2 linked regions of the Nothobranchius furzeri genome follow. The protein of the gene in region 1 binds, or shares a complex with, the protein of each later gene. Links are inferred from orthologs where the notes say so. Each region holds a gene or a part of one and is shown on either strand. Other genes may lie near its edges. The genes, in order: hbs1l and pelo.

Region 1 (6,863 bases):
ACATGTCTGAAACACCTCCCTTGGGAGGCGTCCAGGAGACATCCTAACAACTCAACTGACTCTGTTGGAGCTAAAAGGTGAGCCTGTGAACCAAGGTCGTACATGCTCTGCAAAATGTCAGCATCCTGCTTTTTCAGTTGCAGTAAGAATATTTATCTGAAGTCGACAGCAAGCAGGTGTATGCTGTTTTGGTCCAGAATCTGCTGGAAATATGGTGCCTCCCAACAAGTTTCAACTCGTGTGTGTAAGGTCCATTTCCTGGTTATGCAAGGCTGACGTCGGTAAAAGTATTGAAATAGTCTCTGATTTGATGTGAGAGGCATTTTCGAGGAGGTTTGGCCGAAGGCTCTCGGCAACCCGCTGTCCTAAAGAACTAGTTTGTAAAACTGAAAATAAAGCCCTACGTCTAATCTTTCGTGTCTTACTGAATCCATAAAAGGAACCCACAACTCGTCTCAATGGAGGAGCAGCAGCTCTACTCTGAATCTCTCCCGAACGTCCAAGCGCCTCACCCTATCCCTAAGACTGGACCCAGCTACCCCACGGAGAAAACTTATTTATACCCTCATGCAGCGGAGGGTATAAAACAAAACTCCATAAATTACATTTGCTGTCAACAGTTTTGGTAGTCAATGTAGTTGTGACTATCTTGGGAGCCCTGCTGCATTTAGCATCCAACTGCAGGATAAACAGACAATCTGCAGCTGATAAAATCACATAAATCTGATTTTAATGTTATACCTTGAGGTAGGGATGCGCAATAAACTGGCATCAATATCGGTATCGGCTGATGTTAATTATTTTTTAACATGTTGGTATCGGTCCGATAAATAATACTGGGCCAATATTAACAACCGATATTTTTTCCATCTTGTTTCCATTTGTTTATCTGTTTCAGAGGGTTGGGGGGCGGGGGTGATGTGTGTTAGTTTAGTCATGTGACAGTGATTGTAATCATCTCAGAAGCGTAAAGGTGTGTGTTGTGTGTACATAATAACGTAAGTCCAGCTTTAATCATTTTCATTCGATACAAAACCTGCTGATTTTAGAAGCATCAATGTCAGTATATTGGTATCGGCAAATATCGGTTATCGGCCATAATAGTAATATAATATCAGATATTGGTATCGGCCCAACTATTTCGTATCGGTGCATCACTACCTCGAGGTAAACTACTGTGCATTTTAATATACAACACAAGAAATGTTTAGCTACTCCCAAACTAAATGCCAACTGGTTTCCAAATTTGTACAAGATTGTAAAACAGTAAAATCAGATTTTTTATATTTGCTGCATAAAAGTGTAAATGTGATCTAGCGTTGTTTGTTTTTTCCTTTTTCATGCTTTTGTCATATTTTATTTGGGTGAAACACTTTCAGTTTTTAAATGTGCTAAAACAAACGCTGCTGCTTTACCGTAGACGAAAACAAACATATCTGTTATTAGCCGAGTCTAACATTGGAAACAACTGCAGAAATATCTCCAGCAGCATTTGCGTACTGTGAGTTGGTTTCAGTAAGACTCGTGGCTAAATAAAGAGCAACAGCTTTAAAGTTTTCAGAAGCTCTTTTTGCATTCCACATATTAATCACTGTTCTGTCAGAATGAGGAAAATTTAAACCAACGTTGGCTCAGTATGACACTCGCCGCGCAGTGACGGCTTACCGATCTGCTCCAGCAGGCTGGGTCCAGAGTACCAGGATGTGAGCTGTGACGCAGTACTCCTGGTGACGAGGTTCTCCCCTGACAAACCGCTGGTGGGGACGAAGAACACATCAGACTCCTAGAAAACAGAAACAAATGTCAGAATAAAGCAAAAAGCTGGACTTGGTGCCTTCATGCTGACGGAGAAGGATTCAGACTTCAGGTATTTTAGCTCCATCTCACCTTGAATCCTGCCTGCTTGAGGAAATGACCAAGTTTTGAGGTGATTTCTTGGAATCGCTCTTGTTGCCAGTTTACCTGATTTGTAAACACACAGAGGAAGTACACACAAGAAGAAAGTTTCCCCTTTAGTGTGGCTTCGATATGGAAATGTGTCAGCAATGTGCCGGTGATATATACACCACCCGTTCACCAAACTGGGATTGTTGGAATTTTTTTGACTGATTTGAAGAAGCGAATATCTGATCCAATTTAAAAACAAAGCCTGACAAACATATCAACAAAAAGAAAAACTAATGATTTTTGTACAGTTGCTAGCAGTCGGACTCCCCTGCTCGTGTTTTGGAGCACTGAGGATAACTTCTGACCTGGTCCATCTTGTTGACAGCCACAGCCAGCTGAGTGACACCCAGCGAGCGCACCAACAGAGCATGCTCTCTGGTCTGACCGCCCGCTTCAAAGCCGGCCTCAAACTCTCCTCTGCTGGCATCCACTACGAGCACGGCGACGTCAGCCTGGAGGGAGATCAAAATGAAACTCTAAATAATGTATGTTCACACCCAGAATCAAACCCAAGTCTTCAGCACGAGAGTCAGACAACTTACTAGGTGAGCTAAAGCACCAGTAACATTTGACGTATCTGTAACATTTATATCCTTGATGACAGCTGAAACAACGTCAAACCAAAGAACGGTTCGGAGTGAAAATGGCTATTTTGTTGCTAATTTGCAGGAAATATCTAGAAGAAAGTTCTACAGAAAGTAGCTAAGGGTCCTCAGAAATGTAGCTAGCGTTGTCACTAGGCGTTAGGAACAGCGACAAAGTGGCACTACCTCTCTCTCTGCTGCTAAAGCTACGGATAGCAAATGCTACGGGTGATGCCTGAGCGTGAACGCGCATGAAGCAGCCTGCTCGACCCGAGCAGCTCTCTTTCTGTGATTTTACAGAAAAACAGGCAATCACAGTAAAAATGCCAGGGCTCATTCTACAGGACCAGGGCATTGCAGGAGAATGTATGAAGAAGACATTTATTATTTCTATACATGTTTTGGCTGTCAAACTTTCATAATGCCCCTTTAACTCAGATTTTCTTTATTTTTTTGTTAAATGTACTTTTATTTGACTGAGTAATAAAGAAAAACTATAAAGCCTGGACCAAGCTGCAATCATGCAAAGAAACAATGATCCCAGTGATTGTGGACTAAAGTTTCAAGGACAAAGTCTCAACATCAGCTTGGTTTTGTTGCAGGACCAAGACAGCTCAGAACAAAAATGAAAAGTCATGCAAACCTGAATAAAATGGAGAAACACTGTAAATAATAATAATAATAAAAAAATAAGTGGGCTGAAATTCCCCCACAGCAATGTCAGACAATGATGAGGTCATACAGAAAACACATTCAAGCTACCATCACTAAAAGAGCTTATGGGCTTCAGATTATGGGATGGGAACTCTAATAAATAATCTGTTGAAGTTTATCTTAATTTTCACCTAATTTTAACCCCATATAAGGATGTTTAAGCCTTAGAAGTGAGAAAGACGTTACTTTCTTCACCTGATCTGCTATGTTAGATATTCTAATCCTTGGAATCCCAGTGAAAAGGAAAGTCAGCTTTTCATATCAGCGGCCATGTTTGAGTGTAATTTCTTAAGCATCCATGAACACAAGAGGCCGTAGCATCATCTGGAGCCTGCCAGACCACAACGCTTCCATGACAAAGGAGTTTAGCTCAAACACAAACCCCCTCACTCACTACACAAATGAGGTCACACGTCTTTACAGTCAAAAAGGATAAAGAAAAGTTAAAACGCAGACGAGAACACCCTTGCTTACAAAAAACACCTTGTGAGAACAACGCCCAAAACCACAAACAATCGCCCTGACGGGAGTGGCAAGATGTTGGAGCAAAGGGCGGGGCGGGGCGGGGCGGGGCATCATTTAATCGAGAGGTTTTAATGTCAGGAGAACGTTTAAGGATCAAACATTTTTGCTGCTAAAATAAACAGATCTCTTCTCATAAAATAATCAAGAGACAATTACGTGTGCCTAAATGGTGACATTAGCACATTAAAAACACATATTTGTAATAATAAACATGATATTTATAATGAATGTTGGTTTTTATAAACATTAGACCAGTTTTAATTCACATCTTTTAAAATAAGGTTCTGTGGAAGTCATGGAGAAGTAAAACAAGTAAAGCTGCAGATAACTGTTAGAGTGGCCTCAATTTGGAAATATAAAGATTAGTTCTGATCGATCAGAGGCCAGTTACAAAGCGTCTTCAAGTATGCAAATGCAGTTTTTAGCCTTTACAACATCATAAATGGAACAATTCTGAAGTTATTACTCGTGATGTAGTAGTGATAGTAGTAGTAGTAGTAGTAGTATGTTTATGTTTATGCGTTTAGCAGACGCTTTTGTCCAAAGCGACTTACAAGTGATAATCAGCATGTTGCCCTTGAGGTTAACAACAACAACAACAACAGCCAATTTCCAGTCAGTCGTAGGAGGCAGTGAGGCAGCATGATGAATCATGGAGAGGAGGGAACAAGGAGTGGACAGTAGAGAGGGGGGACGGATGCAGGGAGGGTGCTAGTTTAGAAGATGCTCTCTGAAGAGCAGGGTCTTCAGGAGTTTCTGGAAAATTGAAAAGGAAGCCGCTGTTCTGGTAGTGCTTGGAAGGTTATTCCACATTTGTGGAACGATGCATGAGAAGAGTCTGGATTGTCCTGAGCGTGGTGTAGGCACTGCTAGCCGACGATCCTGTGATGACCGGAGCGGCCGGGCCGAGACGTAAGCCTTTGCAAGAGGATTTAGGTTGTGCGGTCAAAGTCTTGATCATACAGCATTGTATTTAGATCGAAATAAAAAACTCAAATAGAAACATAAAAAAGTTGAAAAATAATTGAAAAAAAAGACACACTGGGTAGGTGGTTATGAAACAGCTGGAACTATTTAAGGTCAGTGTGCGTGTCGCTCCACGTCTCAGAACGTCATCGCGCATTACCTGAAATGTTTTATGTAGGACATGTCAGGAGAGAAAACTGGTTGTGAAAGTTCCTAGAGGAAGCACCAACGTGGTGATCCTCCGAAACGGTGCTAATGACATTCATCTGAAGACTGGAGAGGCAGCCGGTAAGATGCCGATTTGTAACGCGTGTGTGCATGCCGATCAGCTGATGGGTGATGGTTAAGCGCAGCTCGGAGCTGACACTGTGGACTCCGGTGCGCGTCATAAATGTTTGTGTTGGGTGTTTAGAAATCAGCTTGGTGTTTGATTGTTAATAAGCTACTTCAAATCTGCTAATTATTTAATGTTGTGATGTAAAATTGAAACATAAATAGCTGAAGTGATGAATTTAAGTGAGTTTGGGTCCGAATGAATTAATCATGTATTTTATAAATGTTAGCTCAAAAAATATATATATACATCATGTTGAAATCACGCATTTACCTATTTTATGAAAGGTAGTTTATATAGAGATAATAGAATTTTACACAATTACACTGTTTCTTAGCACACACTGTTTTTGTTTAAGGTTTTTCACCTGCTCGTAGGCTTTGCCTTGCTTCGTGCTTCATCATCTCCTATTTCCGTCTTGAATAATATGAAATGGAAATGAAATAAAGGAAAATGAAAAGTGAAGTCATGAAGTCCTGAGTGGAATCCTGCGTATATTTCTCCAGCAGATGATCCCAGTCAAGTGGGGATTTTACTCACCTAAAAGAGGAACTTGACACAGGTAGATGGGAGCCGTACCATCTCGGACTTTGTATGCTAGTGTTAGCAATTTGATTTTGATGCGTGCTGCTAGCGGTAGCCAGTGGAGCTCAATGAACAGAGGGGTGACGTGTGCTCTTTTTGGCTGATTGAAGACCAGACGCGCCGCTGCATTCTGGACCATTTGAAGAGGTCTCACAGTACAGCCTGGAAGACCAGTTAGAAGGACATTGCAGTAATCGAGGCGGGAGATGACAGTAGATTGCACCAGGAGCTGGGTGGCATGTTGTGTTAGGTATGGTCTGATCTTTCGTATGTTATACAGCACAAAGCGGCATGAACGAGCAACAGAGGCAACATGATCTTTAAAGGTCAGGTGTTCATCAATCACAACACCCAGATTTCGAACTGCCTTTGAAGGAGCCAGAGATGGGAAGTCATTTTGGATTGAGATATTGTGCTTTATGGATGGTTTTGCTGGGATGACAAGTAGTTCAGATTTAGAGAGGTTGAGTTGGAGATGGTGGGATTTCATCCATTTTGATATGTCAGAGAGACAGTTTGATATTCGAGCAGAGACAGTGTGGTCGTCCGGTGGAAATGACAGATAGAGCTGGGTGACGTCTGCATAGCAGTAGTAGGAGAAGCCATGTGATCGAATGATCTCACCCAGTGAGGTGGTGTATAGGGCAAAGAGAAGAGGTCCTAGTACAGAGCCCTGGGGGACTCCTGTGGCAAGATGGTGCACGGTAGAGGATTGTCCAAGCTGAGATACGCTGAATGATCATCCTGTGAGGTACGATTCAAACCAGGCGTGTGCTTTCTCTGTGATGCCCATGCTAGAGAGTGTGGACAAAAGGAAGCCATGGTTGGCAGTGTCAAATGTAGCCGATAAGTCGAGCAGGATAAGCACTGAGGATTTGGCAGTCGCCCTAGCTTCTAAAGCTTCTAGTAGTAGTAACTAGCTTCTCATCTAATTCCCACAGCAAATAAATGCCAAACTTACCGTAAGGGAACTGTACATTTGTGTGAGTGTCTATTAAGAATAGATTTAATTTCTTGGGGTCAGAAAGTTCCTACGAAAGCAGAAACTAGGGATGTTCAAAATTATCGATCTACCATTATTATCGGCTGATATCGGCATTAAAATTTAATATTTAAAAATTCTGTATTGGTTTTCCATCTTTTAATGACACAACTTTTACACACTGTGCATGTTTTATATTTCAAACTCTTGAGCTACTTCTCCTCTA
Region 2 (6,896 bases), on another chromosome or scaffold:
TTGGATCCAACACTGATCAATAAAACTAATGCTGATTACTTTTATTTTTAGAAGAACCAGGTCTGAGTTGATCTGCCTCCTAAACATAGATTTAACTTAACTTAAAAACTGATGCAGCAAAGTGGTCAGAGGGCTTGAAAAAATACTCGTTTAAAAAATGACAACAATTTCAAGTGAACTGAGACAAACATTTAGATGTTTGTTTACATCAGTAAGAAGATAATAGTGATAATTTTTGTGAATCTTTAGTGACACTAAACAGTTTAATCGACAAAAAACCCATCGAATCCAAAACATGATACTGTGACCAAGGTCACTACCATGTGCCTTGCAACAATATCACAAATATTTGTTACGTTTTTTATCTTAGAAAGTTAAGTTAGAAATGTAGTTACTGAAAACGAAACTCCACAGAATGTTAACTCAAACATTTTATTTCTTAAGTCTGCTGTGAAAATTCCCTCGGCTATAAAGCAAACAATAAAACTCACCACAAATCTTGAGGGGGGCCTCGAGTTCGAGCAGGATCGGCTGACTAAGGAAGATCTCCCGGGATTTGAGGCAGAGTCCACGGATTTCATTCTCTGTCAGCTGAACATTTTTACCAGGTCTGGAGCCTTTCACTTTAGGGAAAAGAAAAATAACACAAATCAAACTGAATATGGGGTTAAAAAACAAACATTAACCAGGGAAGTGGTAATTCAGTCTCATTTTGTAACAATCCTACTGAGGTGTAACTATTTTAATTCATGTCCAGCATACGTGTGTCTATCTATCTATCTATATATATCATATTTTCACAACTCTATTGGTGAAACATTTTTATAAGCAGACCACTGAGAAAGGGTCAAAAATTATGTATTTTAGTAGTTTTTCCTGTTGTCTCATTTATCGCAGCATCTAAAAGCACACGATGCAAAGGGAAATTCAAATATTTTAGGTTTATTCTGACACTGAGAAAATCTAAACATCTCATGGATTTCTGACAAACTGGTCAATTTTGGGGATTTTTGGTAAAGGGTATTCTGTAAATCATGCGTTAAAATAACCAGAACGCTTTTTAAATACCAATTTTCACCTACGATGATTTATTTTCATGATTGGAAAAAGTAAAAACTTCAAACTAACCCTACAATAAAATCACACGTCTTCATCGCTTGATGAAAATACATTTCAAACAGCAAATATGAGAAAAGACGCGCATCGTTTCAATAAATCAATGTTAAACGAGCCCTTTAACGGGATTACATGTGAAAATTTTTGTTGAAGCACTTAATGCAGGTCTACATAATTAATCTGATGGTTTCTGTCCAATGCGAGTCAAATTTTGTATTTCAATTGTAAAACCCCAAAGATGGATAATTAGGAAGTCTTTCATTGGCGGCTTCTTCCCTGTTAGCTAAAATGGCACCTCGGTGAATAAAAACCGAGTCTTACCTTCCAGGAGACGCTGTATAATTGAATCGATGTTCAGCTTGTCGGCTTCCGCCATACTATTCTTCTAATCGGGTCGGGTTTTCTTTGATTTACTTCGAAATTTCAATACGAAAAGATTGTAAAGTAGCTCTCGAGTTTACCGTTAGCTCAAGTAGTTAATCGGCTATCGTTAGCCGCTAGCTAACCTTGGGGGATAATAACAACCTCAAAGTGTGAGGCTGAAGACTGAATTGTTGAATATGTGATGGCTGACATGTGCTTGCAGAAATTTAATTAATCAACGACTTCAAATTTGAATCCTAAAACACTTTTTAAGTGTTTGAAATATCCGCCGCGGCTGCTAGCACAACCATGCCATCGACAAAAAAGGTTAGAAGAGCGTGGCTGAACGGATGTTGTCCGACTGTATTTGAGCTGCAATTGGTTCGTTTACCTCCGTGGCCGGGATCTGTGGTACAAAATCTGCTATCGGGTTGGCTATTTTCAATGTACGTCAGCATTTAGTCATCTCAAAACCACAACGATAAAAGAGCAAGTGCTCACGGAAATGGATCAAACGTTGTTCTTTGAGAAACTTCAGTTTACTTGAACATTTCCAAATAAATAAATACATCTACAAAATCTGAAATATTTAAGTTTCGGTCGCTTTGTATGTACTGCGCAGAAGCAACACCCATTAAAGAGGCCAAGCTAGACAGAATTGACGTATGATAACATGACGCAATGGGTCCTCTACTGCTTATTCGCCGGCGAGTTTAGTGGTGCATCGAATGGGCGGATGCAACTTACAGTCCGCTACGGTCTCAATGTTTAGGCGGATCGTTCTCCGGCATAACGTTAAGGAACGGACCCACGTCTCAGCGCCTCGCAACACGAACCGAGTGATTCATTCCAAAGTTGAGAGATGGCTTAGCTTAGTTAGCGCTTTCATTGAAATAAATATGTCCGTAATTCGGTTAAACTCCTGCCACTGTAGTTTAGGTTGACAATCTTGTTTATTACATTAAAACAATCCAGCCATGAAGTTGCTCCACAAAGACATTGAGAAAGATTATGCCGGGTGAGTGAAATGTTTCAGCTAATATTAGCAAGCTAAAAAGCATGCTATTGTAGCTGACCAAACATGTGTCATCGTAGTGGTGATGGATACAGGAACATTTACGATCAGTGCTTTATTAGACAATGTACAGAATGAAGCATTATTAACATAATACTGTATTTCCTGATATAGCCAGAGAGCTTTGATGACTGTTCTGTCCCCATCTAATGGGTAAACAATAAGAATCAAACAGTTTTTGTAATTTTTTTTTACATTCTGCATAAACATTCTATCAAACATTTGGATCAGTCGATGTCTAAAGAACATTTGATCTTGTGTAATCAAACATAAAAGCCAATCAGAAAGCTAGTTTGATGTGTGTTAACACTTCTTCAGTCAGGTAACTCTGATGCCAGAGGAGGCAGAGGATATGTGGCACACCTACAACCTGCTCCAAGTGGGGGACAGCTTGAGAGCCTCAACCATCCGGTAACCTTTGACCTGTGTCGCATAAAGATGAGATGTGCAACTCTGAACATTAAACTATCTCATGACCATTAAACAGACCACTTAGAAGTTGGTTTTAGTTCAGATGAGTTTGTTTCTTCTCTTTTCTGCCTGCTAATCAGTCAGGGTTGTATTTTGATTTGATCCCTTTCACAGTCTGTATGCATGTTAAATTGAACATTACACTAACAACTAAAGCTATTTTCCCTTGTTGCCACAGAAAAGTACAGACAGAATCCACGACAGGAAGTGTGGGCAGCTCCAGAGTCCGGACAACTCTGACTTTATGTGTGGAGACCATTGACTTTGACTCCCAGGCATGCCAGCTGAGAGTGAAAGGCACCAACATCGAGGAGAACCAGTATGTCAAGGTGGGAAATTGGACCGTAACCCTATAGTAGTCACACTCCGGTGTGTTTTTGTTTTGCTGTATTTGACACCGTTACTAGGGCTTGTTTGGGTTTGAAAACACTTGTCATATTGTGTTTTTCAGATGGGGGCTTACCACACTATTGAATTGGAGCTCAATAGGAAGTTCACTCTGGCTAAAAAATGCTGGGACAGCATTGTGCTGGACAGAATTGGTAATTGGCTGCTGGCTTTTATGCCACAGTTTTAAAATGAGATCATTTGCTGTTGAGAAAGGATGCCATTACAGCTGTTTAGGTTAGTTCCTAAAAATCATGCACAGTATTTTAGTGCTCAGCCTGTATGTTATGGACGATTAAATGTCGTTCACATAAAATTTAAGCTGTAAAATCAATGTGTTTACCAGTTTCAGTGAACTGTAGCAGCCATCCTGAATCAGGTTGACCCCAAGCACAAACCAGGTTGTAGATGTGCTATAAAATATACGTTTTTAGAGTCTTATTGAAATCCATCCAGTGGTTTATTAGATATCTTGCTGACAAATGCAAACAAAAACACAAGTACCCGCCTTTTGGCTTTCAGCAGTGAGTTGTGATAGACCTGCAGTAAAACATTTGTAATGATGTTTGACCCATTTTTATTATTTTCTACCCTTTAGACCAAGCATGTGATCCGGCTCAGAAAGCAGATGTGGCAGCTGTGGTCATGCAGGAAGGTCTGGCTAACGTGGTTCTGGTGACCCCCGCCATGACTCTGCTTCGGGCAAAAGTGGAGGTCACGATTCCTCGGAAGAGAAAAGGCAGCTGCAGTCAGCACGAGAAGGTCAGTCGTCTGGGATGTGTTCTGGTGTGTGCTTTGTTTATGTCTGGATAAACCTGCTTGATTTATTTGAAGAGCAAGTCACTCCAAATCAACATTTTTTTTGCTGATAAACTATATAAATGAGTGTCTTATTGTGCTGTAGACAAATGTAGTCAATAATTTGGCATTTTAGTGCATCTTAGTTAAATTTTAACTATTCTGCCTAAAACTGTCAGCGGTGCACTGTCGTCAGGCAAAAACTCAGCACTGCATTTGAATAGAAATCTGCCATCGCTATTGGCTAAGAGGTACACAATGATGTTAGATGGTACATTATGATGTCACAATGTCGTGAGTGTGTGTATTTGTTAGCGGCTCCACCCTCTCGGTCTGCTAGGCAACAGGAAGTGGGAGTTCAGTAAGAATCTGGCCGTGGGTGACTTGCTCTTTAAGAGTGGTTGCCTTCAGATGGTCATGTAACGATTATTCACGGGTGCATTCAGATAAATCATTTAAAAGGTAAGTGTTGTGCTTGTTTTTTTTACCAGGCATTGGAGAGGTTCTATGAGGCCGTGATGCAGGCCATTCTTCGCCACATTAACTTTGATGGTAGGTCCAACAGACCTACACTTCCACATGTAACAACACAGCATGTTCCTGTTTTCATCACATGTTCCACTCTGAGTTTCACCCGCAGGCTGAATGTAAAAACGGTCTTCTACCCCATCACCTGATTTAGCTGCTGATAGAAATAGACGGAAAAACGCTCAGATTAGAAAAGTCATTCAGATCTACGTCACACTGGAACTTAACATTCATGGGCTCATCCATCTTGACTCACGATCAGGAAGGCTGTTGCTGGTTTAACAGCCAGGAAACGGCAGAGAACTTATCTGCCTCGTAGAAGCTAACCGTTAGCATGAGCAACTCCACCACACAGCAGAACTACTTCAGGCTTGTATTATATGGGGAGATAAAACGTCAACATTGCAAAGTAAACAGTCAGAGGTAGAGTTGTTTTGCTGTTAGCCAATCAGAGGTGAGATGTCCGAATATCAGGAAATAAAACTCCAAATCCTGTCATGATCGTCTCCTCTCTCCTCTGACTCACTTCTACTTCCTGAAATAGGAATGTCAGAGCTTCTTCCTCACAGAGACCGACTCACAAGTCATTCATTCATACCAGAGACCACAGCAAATGTATTGAAAAAGTGAGTGAACTTGGTCTGTAGACTGAATCAAAGCAACTGTGTTAATCTCTGTTTTGGACTTCTGTCAGTGGTGAAGTGTATCCTCGTGGCCAGTCCAGGCTTTGTGAAGGACCAGTTTTCTGCCTACCTCTTTAAAGAGGCGGTGCGACAGGACATCAAGATCCTCCTGGAAAATCGACCCAAATTCATGCTGGTCCACTCATCATCAGGCCATAAGTATTCACTCAAAGGTAGGAGCTGCTGCGCACTGAGAAAAACAGCCAAGCTGAAGATAAAACAAAACACTTTTTTTTGTGCAGAGATCCTTTGTGACCCCTCTGTGACAAGTAGGCTTTCTGATACTAAGGTGAGTATACATCTTCTGGTTGTCCAGTTTTATTAATCATCCAAACTATCTGCAGGCCATCGTGTGCATGTTTGGGCTCAGAACCTAAACATGTGGTATTTGTGTGTAACTCTCAGGCAGCTGGAGAGGTGAAAGCTCTGGATGACTTCTACAAGATGCTTCAACATGAACCAGACAGAGCCTTTTATGGGTAAGAGGTGATGGATCCGAACTTCCAGCTGTGTCCAGAGGGGTTCTTCTCATTCACTCTGGTCTTTGTGTCTTTTCCCTCCTCACAGAATCGCTCATGTAGAAAAAGCCGCTGATGCCCTCGCCATCGACACGCTGCTCATCAGTGATAAGCTGTTCAGGTGCGCACAGAGAGATCTCCCAAGAGCATTACAGCTGTTTTTATGTTAAGTTTAAGCTCTTTAAAGTTTTACGTGTGTGTTTGTGTGTGTGTGTTTTCAGACACCAGGACGTCCCCACTAGGAGTCGTTATGTTCGGTTGGTCGACAGCGTCAAAGACAATGGAGGAACTGTCAGGTAGCTTAAAAAATACTGTTTTTATTTCCTACAACTGACACACACACACACACACACACACACACACACACACACACACACACACACACACACACACACACACACACACACACACACACACACACACCCTGCTGGTCTGTAAAATTGTGAAAATTCTGTTTTCAGGGTTTTTCAACCATTCTTAATGCTTTATTCTAATAGTTCTGTTATTTATACACGCCGTTCATTTTTCTCATGCAGGATATTCTCAAGCCTTCACGTGTCTGGTGAACGTAAGCAACAAACTCATTTCACACAAACGAAACTTTCTCATGGTTAACACGGTTAAGAGCACATCTTTCCCTGCTGGTGGATACAGTCGCTGTTTTTAAGCTAACTGTGAGGCTCATTCCAGCTCTAGTAGTGATTTATGCATGGGCTGCATGGTGGCGCAGTGGTTAGCACGAAGGCCGAAGGTTCAAAACTCGGCTGCAGCCTTTCTGCGTGGAGTTGCGTGTTCTCCCCATGCGTGCGTGGGTTTCCTCCACAGATCATAACATGCCCTATAGGTTATCAATTGTAAGTCGCTTTGGATAAAAGCGTCTGCTAAACACATAAACATAAACACATAAACATTTATGTTATTTGGATAAAAAAGCTAGATGCATCAGCAGGAAGATCA

Evidence for each region.
Region 2: hbs1l (region 1) and pelo share a complex: the UniProt entries of both Homo sapiens proteins name them as parts of the pelota-HBS1L complex. The link is inferred for Nothobranchius furzeri from reciprocal best matches to the Homo sapiens genes HBS1L and PELO.

Annotation. Positions count from the first base shown.
Region 1 is NC_091742.1:471,737-478,599, reverse strand, and holds part of hbs1l (HBS1-like protein), read right to left. Parts: intron 2,400-6,863; coding exon 2,253-2,399; intron 1,963-2,252; coding exon 1,888-1,962; intron 1,784-1,887; coding exon 1,666-1,783; intron 1-1,665. UniProt on the Homo sapiens protein: GTPase component of the Pelota-HBS1L complex, a complex that recognizes stalled ribosomes and triggers the No-Go Decay (NGD) pathway.
Region 2 is NC_091756.1:34,852,775-34,859,670, forward strand, and holds the start of pelo (protein pelota homolog), read left to right. Parts: upstream 1-2,226; 5' UTR 2,227-2,456; coding exon 2,457-2,497; intron 2,498-2,872; coding exon 2,873-2,965; intron 2,966-3,203; coding exon 3,204-3,354; intron 3,355-3,476; coding exon 3,477-3,567; intron 3,568-4,010; coding exon 4,011-4,174; intron 4,175-4,701; coding exon 4,702-4,762; intron 4,763-5,432; coding exon 5,433-5,594; intron 5,595-5,663; coding exon 5,664-5,710; intron 5,711-5,826; coding exon 5,827-5,900; intron 5,901-5,988; coding exon 5,989-6,060; intron 6,061-6,160; coding exon 6,161-6,235; intron 6,236-6,475; coding exon 6,476-6,507; intron 6,508-6,896. Other genes in the region: ppp1cab (protein phosphatase 1, catalytic subunit, alpha isozyme b), read right to left, coding at 492-623, 1,438-1,492. UniProt on the Homo sapiens protein: Component of the Pelota-HBS1L complex, a complex that recognizes stalled ribosomes and triggers the No-Go Decay (NGD) pathway.